2 linked regions of the Sus scrofa genome follow. The protein of the gene in region 2 binds, or shares a complex with, the protein of the main gene of each other region. Links are inferred from orthologs where the notes say so. Each region holds a gene or a part of one and is shown on either strand. Other genes may lie near its edges.

What was found. Proteins that work in one complex are often made in the same cells at the same time.
Region 1: SNRPD3 (region 2) and SF3B5 share a complex: the UniProt entries of both Homo sapiens proteins name them as parts of the minor spliceosome. The link is inferred for Sus scrofa from reciprocal best matches to the Homo sapiens genes SNRPD3 and SF3B5.

The regions. Positions count from the first base shown.
Region 1 is NC_010443.5:21,229,742-21,232,633, reverse strand, and holds SF3B5 (splicing factor 3B subunit 5), read right to left. Parts: upstream 1,371-2,892; 5' UTR 1,227-1,370; coding exon 966-1,226; 3' UTR 946-965; intron 837-945; 3' UTR 620-836; downstream 1-619. UniProt on the Homo sapiens protein: Component of the 17S U2 SnRNP complex of the spliceosome, a large ribonucleoprotein complex that removes introns from transcribed pre-mRNAs.
Region 2 is NC_010456.5:49,584,074-49,588,335, forward strand, and holds the start of SNRPD3 (small nuclear ribonucleoprotein Sm D3), read left to right. Parts: upstream 1-1,413; 5' UTR 1,414-1,811; intron 1,812-1,844; exon of another isoform or gene 1,845-1,973; intron 1,974-2,800; exon of another isoform or gene 2,801-2,855; intron 2,856-3,480; 5' UTR 3,481-3,498; coding exon 3,499-3,624; intron 3,625-4,262. Other genes in the region: protein GUCD1, read right to left, coding at 772-814. UniProt on the Homo sapiens protein: Plays a role in pre-mRNA splicing as a core component of the spliceosomal U1, U2, U4 and U5 small nuclear ribonucleoproteins (snRNPs), the building blocks of the spliceosome.

The DNA.
Region 1 (2,892 bases), on a different chromosome or scaffold from region 2:
GTGAGGTCAGGGACCAAACCTGCATCCTCATGGATCCTAGTCAGATTGTTTCCGCTGAGCCAGGATGGGAACTCCTGAGCATTCTACTTAAAACTGCAACCCTACTGCTACTCTCATTCTCCACAGCACCCTCCAACATGTGCTTGCTTATGTCTGCAAATTTTGTGGTCTTCTGCTCCCCCAACCAGTGTAATATAGGTCCTTAAAGCCTGCCACATAAAATTCAACACGTATTTGCTGAATGAATTTAAGAACTAATTTGACAGTTTGTCAATACTCAAGATATGTCCACGTATTTCCAAAAGAAAGAGGTGTAATCTACAGAGAGAAGGCAAAGCGAGTCAAGATTTTTTTTTTTTGTATGAAAGAAAAAGGACACAGTGATCACAAACCTCAATAGTGAATGTGTTAAGGGCCTGAGAAAAGTTCCTGGGAGAAGTCAGGGTTGGAGAATATTATAAAGAGCGTATTTAAGTGTCTGGCAACGAACTTTGGCCCTGTGCTACTGTTGAACCCCTCCCCAACCCTTCCCTTCTTTATACCCCCCGCCACCCGGCAAACCACAGTCCCAGAGCCCTCCTTGGCCCCTCCACCAGAACACAAGTAGTCCACACCAAGAGACCGAAACATTTCTAAACTTTATAGAAAAAGCAACGAAGACAGTCAACTAGCCAAAAACGAGCCTCTTAATCCCATCTCACTCCAGCCATATCTCCTCTAACGTCTGCAGACTTTAGGATCTCTCCACTGTTCAGTTTCTCAGGGGTTATGACGGGTCTCCCAACACTTTGTTCCACAGGAAGGCAGGTCGGACGGAACGCCCCGGGTAAGGACCTCTGTACAAAGAAAGCACGAAAAGCAGAGCTATGAAGAATCCGTCCACTTGGGAGAGGAACCCGCGGGAATGACGACAAACCGGAGGAACGCAGAGAGGTGCTCACGTACAGCGGTGAGACGGTGAGGTCTCAGTTCTCCTCCGGTTTGTCGGCGGGCGGGCCGCAAGGCTGCAGCATCTTCTCCATCAAGTTGAAGCGGACTCGCGCTTTGCTCTCATTCTCGGCAATGGCGAAGTAGTTGAGAAGGTCGAAGTGGCCCATGTAGGAGCAATAGGAGTCGCGGTGCTGGTTCACCAGCCACTCCCATTTGGTGGTGTCGGCGTGGCCGGTGCCGATGTATTTGGACTGCAGATGCTCTAACTGGCTGTGGATGGTGTAGCGGTCTGTCATCTCGTTGCTTTTTCCTTTGCTCGCAGGTCAGAAGCCGCAGACGAGAAGAAGCCGCTCTAAGGTTTCAAGCCGGAGAGGAGCCACCCGCCGGAACCTCTGTACACGCGCGGCCGCAGGTGGATGGCGTCACAGCGACAAAGCAGCGCGACTCGCGGTCCCCGGCCTCCCAGGCGGAAGTGTATTCTGTCACGGAATTGGAGTTGCCTCGGCAACGCTACCAGTGGGCCTTCCCTATAGAGAGCCCCGCCTCCTTCGCAGAGCGTTGCATGCTGGTCCATCTAGCGGCCCTTTTCTAACAGGAGCTTTGCATGCTGGGACTTGTGGTTTCCGAGGGTTGGTTCGCAGAGACTTCTTGGGACCTCTGTGTGTGGGTTTGAGAGACTGAATGGACTGCGGTGTTTGGGAGGCAGGAAGCATCCTCGGGCGGATGGGGGGCCGAGAGGAAGTGGGAAACAAGTAGTACAAGGCTGTAAGCAACTGGGGAAAGGAGCTCTTTGTGCAATTCCGCTTTCGGAGCTACAGAGGGTACAGTAGCCGTTTCACAACCAGGGGTGGATCACCCTGAAGTCAGGAAACTCAAGGTCTGACCCCAGCCATGTCTCTTACAAGTTGTGTGGAAACTTCTTTCATCGCTTGCGGGGCCGCCGTTTCCCGCCTAGTGACCTAAGTACAGCACCAGTTCCGACACATTCAGGCCCCCACAACAGGCTCCTCCTTTTGAGCTTCTAATTTTGACATCCTCCCAACAAGTTTCACCCCACCTACAGGCCCTCAGCCTCTACTTCTCAAACGTTCCCGTGCTGCTCTCTCCAGTTCTCTGTACGAGCTGTTCCATCTGCGTGGAATGCTTTTGTTCCCCTGGCAAACACTTCTCCCTTTTAAGTCAGCTCGAAAGTATCTCCCTGAAATTGACTTTGGCTACTCCAGACAGATGTAAATTCTTTTCATCCTGTACATCTCTTTGTTATTATCACTTTATATCCAGTTTTTGGTTTAAGAACTTCCCCACACGAATACAAACTACTTGAGAAAAACTACTTTTTTGATGATGTCTTTTTTTTTTTTTGAGGGTGAGACATCTATCTACTTGATCTATTTGTAGCATGAAATCCACAAAGAAAACCCCAAAATGCGAAGTTCAATAAATTCAAATAGTAATATTTTTAAAAATATTAATGAAAAAGAGATGATGTCTTGTATCATATGCTTCTGTTATGCTAGCCACAGAGCCTCGCAGAGATTGTTTCTCAAAAAACATCTGATGAATGGATTAAAAAAACCTGTATGACGGCCAAATAAATTCTTTACTGGGAGAAAGATAACTTTAAAGTATCTTTATTCTGGTATAAAGTTACGGTTAGATAGGACTAGTAAGTTTAGAGCTCTATAGTTAACTATAGTTAATACTGTATCAATACTAAAAATTGTGAGGAGGTGAATATGTTAATTAGTTTGTGGTACCATTTTATTGTGTATATGTATATCAAATCATGTTGCACCTCTTAAATATATATAATTTTTATTAAAAAATTTTAGTGGTAAAACAGTTCCCTCTGGGATCAAATGCCTGTACCAAAAATTGGAAAAAAAAAAAAAAACTTCCCCCTTAAGTGTGAACTTGGTTATAACAAATATTTCATTTCTGAAACATAGAGGTTATTATAAG
Region 2 (4,262 bases):
CCAAGATCACAGAATTAGATAATTAGAGGATTAGGGAGGCCAATCCCCGGGTAACTCCAGACCCTACTCCTTGCTGCAGTCACAGTCAGTATCCTGCTGATTCCTTAGGGTCAGGCTCCCACATGCTCTTGACTTCTCCCAGGAGCTGGGACCTCACTTTAGAGTTTACCAGCACTTCCTTTCTCACCAACCCTGTGCCTTAACCAGAGCAGGAATTACTGCTCTCTCCCTCCCCAATTTAGCAAAGCAAACCGAGGTTCACACACAACCTGAGTTTTGGTTTCTGCCTGCAAGGGAACACAGGCCACCTGGGACATAAGGAACTAGAGTGAAGAACTCTAGCAAGACAAAACACTGAGTCTGGGAGGCCGGGGGGGGGGGCCTCCCCCATTGCTCTATGCTCCCTGCCAGTTCCCTGCCCTTCTAGGCCTCAGTTCCCCGAGGGGACAGGATCTCTCACGGCAGCTTCAGCAGGACTTTTCGCTTCTGGGGAAGCTGCCGCCCCAGCCTCTCAACCAGGACCCTCCCACCAAGACCGCCATCAGAGCTGCCTGGGGTTCCAGCCCTGGGAGTATCAGGAAACCCCAGCAGACCGCGGTTGGCGCTGCGGGAGCCAAGGCGGGGTGTACACCTGGCCAGACTTCACTCAAAGCTCTACAGCCTAGGACATGGCGGCCGTCGGTCCAAGGTCACGCGGCCGGACCCTGACCGCTGCTAGGGTGGGCCCCCCTGTTCCCCTGGATGAGGGCTAAGCCCTCAGGGAGCACTGACCGGGCTCGAGCGGCGGCCCCGATGCCTCCCCCTCCGTCCTCATGACGTGGGCGGCGCGGGGCTCCCATGGCCCCGGCCCGGCGCCGGCTGCAGCTTCGGCCTCGTCTGGGGCGGGAGCGGGGCCGCTAGTCCCCGGGTTCCTGGGCCGCCACCGCCACTGCCAGCACGGTGGGGAGAAGGGGAGGCGGCAGCTGGGCCGCCCCAAGCCCCGCCCCGGCCCTTCCAGGCCTTGGCCCGCCCCGTCCGCCCTGGGCCCCGCCCCGGCCCGCCCCCGCCTCCTCTGGCCCTCAAGCCCTCAGGCTCCCAGGCTCCTGTCTCCGCTGGTCCCGGCCGCTCAAAGTGTCAGCTCCCAGGGTTGCCGCCCCGACCTCCGAGGCCTGGCGCGGACGCGCAGCCCTTCCCGCCCCGCTCCCCGGAAGCCCCGCCCAGGCCCGGGAGTTCCACGAACGCGGGCTCCCCAGAGCCCCCGGCAAGCTCCGCCTCTGCCAGGTCCTACTCCTCCGCCAGCCTCGGGGCCGGGAGACCCAGCCCCACCTCGACTCTCTTTGGAGGGACGGCCGAGGGCCGGCACCCGCTCTGCTCCTGTCTCCCTCTCCGCTCAGGGGTCCCTTTACCTGGCACTGCCGGGTTCCGAAGGTTAAATTGTGAGGGGAGGTCCTGGCCCTCGGCCCCACCGCTGCCTCCCCCGATCCCCGCCTCGCCGTCCAGCCCGTCGCCGGTGTGAGGTGTTTGGAAAAGCGAGTCCCTCTCTGCCCTTGCCGGCCCGAGGGTCGGTGTTTCCGGCGGCACCTGGGTCCAGTCATCAGTCTTCCGGGGCCGGAACTCTTGAACCACAGACCGAGTTTCCCAGCCGGTGGGGTGAGGTGGAAGCGAGGACGAGACCGCGCTCACCACTGGGAAAAGGAAGAGGGCGGGCCCTGCGCGAGGCATTTTGGGAACGCGTGGTATTCTGGGAGCGCGGGACCCGCCATTCGCTTGTCTCACGCTTCGCAGTCGGCAGAGTCGCGGCCGCACCGGGAAGGAGGAGGAGACCTCAGGCGGTGAGGGGAGGCTGGGGGCGGGCGTGGGGAGGCCGAGGCACTCGGAGGAGTAGAGGGTTGGAGAAGGACGCGCTGCCGAGGAGCTCCGCGGGGCTCGCCGAGGGACAGGAGCGGGAAGCCGGGCCACCAGACAGTGTCGCCTCACTAGCGCTTGGAAGTGAGGTCGTTAGCTTTTCCTTCAGTTTCCATACCTCCCCAGGCCAGTGTTTTTCGAAGCATCCAGGCAATGGTCTTGAGGTCGTTTCTGGCTAGTTGCTTCCTTCCCAAGTCCTTTGCTTCCCTGCCTCCATCCGCCCCCTCATGCTTTCTACACCGTTACACAAGCTTCTTTCAAGTTTCCCTGCATCTAAGCTGTGTTCGAACCATTTTGTAAGTGCTGCTGCCTTTCCCAGGGATAATTCCTTCCCTATAGTCCTGCCGTGGTTCTCCCATTGCGTTCAGCATAAAATCTACACTTCTGAGGCTTCTCACGAAGGGCGCCTGTCTCTTTCACTGCTCTTCCTTTTTCTCTTTATGCAGGAGATGTATTCCACCTTTCAGCTGACCATTTTGGAATTTAAAAACCGACAGCTTTCCTCTTTTAAGGTCAAGTCAGGCTTGCCTTGATTCCCTTTTTTCTCCAAGATAAGCATTTCCTGTGTGTAGCACATTATCACTTTGTGAATACTTTGATATTTTCTCTTTAACTTTGATGGTGAAGTAAATGGAGAGTCAAAGAGCACTTACTGGGTTGAATTAAATGCATGGACTCTTCTTGATTTTAATTTTCGTTCTTTTTTTTTTTTTTTTTTTTTTGCCACCCTGAGGTATATGGCGTTCCCTGGCCACGGATCAGATCCAAGCCATGGTTTCCACCTTCCTCGAAGCTGCAGCAACCCACTATGGTGGGCCAAGGATCGAACCAGTGTCCCAGGGCTCCAGAAATGCCTCAGACCACATTGCGCCACAGCTGGAGCTCCTTATTTCATTTTAATTTTATTCAATTTCAGAACTTGCAGTGGTTACTGTTTTGGACAGCTCAGGTCTACGTCCTACGTTCTCAAGGTGATGTTACCCACTGCTTTGGGTTAACAAGTACACCTGCCTTCCAACCCCCTCTGCTGCAACATAGTTATTTGATAAAGATAAAGGGACCTGTGGTAGCAGGGAGATGAGAGGCAGTCTTTTCATTCCTGTTAGCTTTCCCTCTGTCTAGCCCCCCTGTTCCTCCCCACCCAATCTTGCATCTTGTTTGCTAGATATGTTCTTCAAGCTGGGGTTAAGCTACTTTTTCAAGTTCCTTTGGGAGTTCCCTTCCTGGCTCAGTGGTTAACGAACTTGACTAGGATCCATGAGAATGTGGGTTTGCCCCCTGGCCTTGCTCAGTGGGTTAAGGGTCTGGCATTGCTGTGAGCTGTGTAATCGCAGATGTGCCTCAGATCCTGTGTTGCTGTGGCTGTGGCATAACCCAGCAGCTGTAGCCTCTATTCAACCCCTAGCCTGGGAACTTCCATATGCTGGGGGCGCAGCCCTAAAAAGCAAAAAAAATAAAGTTAAAAAAAAAAACACGCCTTTGGCATTTTTGCTGAGTGTTACAGAGTGTCCAGCCTTGAGTGAGGCTTGTGCCACATGCCTCTCAGGCCCTGAACCATGAACTCTTATCTCTCTCTCTCTCTCTCTCTCTCTGTAGAATTCTCTTCCTGCCGAGATGTCTATTGGTGTGCCGATTAAAGTCCTACATGAGGCTGAGGGGCACATTGTGACCTGTGAGACGAACACGGGAGAGGTGTACCGAGGGAAGCTCATTGAAGCCGAGGACAACATGAACTGCCAGGTATCCTGCTTTGCACATGAGCCTATTGGGGGGAGCTTGAGCCTGTGTCTTGGAGGACAGAAAGCTGGTGATTGAGGGTCTTTTTGAAGTTCTCATTCAGCAGTTACTGAGAGCTTAGTGAATGCCAGGCACTGTTCCAGATACCAGGGATGTGGGCATAGGTAAGAGCCATTTGGAATATTTAATTTTGTCCTTTGTTTCCCAACCCCATAAACCGTTTTCTCCCATATCTCGGGGCCTGTTTAAGAGAAGTAGCACAATGTTCAGTAGAACCATTAGGTTCAGGGTCGCTAGTAACTCATCCCTACTTGTTTGCCCATTGCTTTGCAGTTTGCATACCATGTGGTTTGGATACCATATGTAAATCTTCCACTTATATATGGTAGTTATTTGCCATTCTTCTTGGGGGAGGTATCTTCTTTGATTGCATTTATAGCAGCTACCCTGTGAGGTAAGAAGGTTTTGATGATAGCTTTGTCATCCATAAAATGGGAAAGATAAGATTAAAGGACTTAATTACTGTACTTACTTGCTAATAAATATTGAAGCCATTTCTTGACGTGGTGCCCTTCTGATGGCAGTACTTTGATTTTGCTAATAATTATGTGAATTTGTATAGCATCACTTTACAAAGTGTG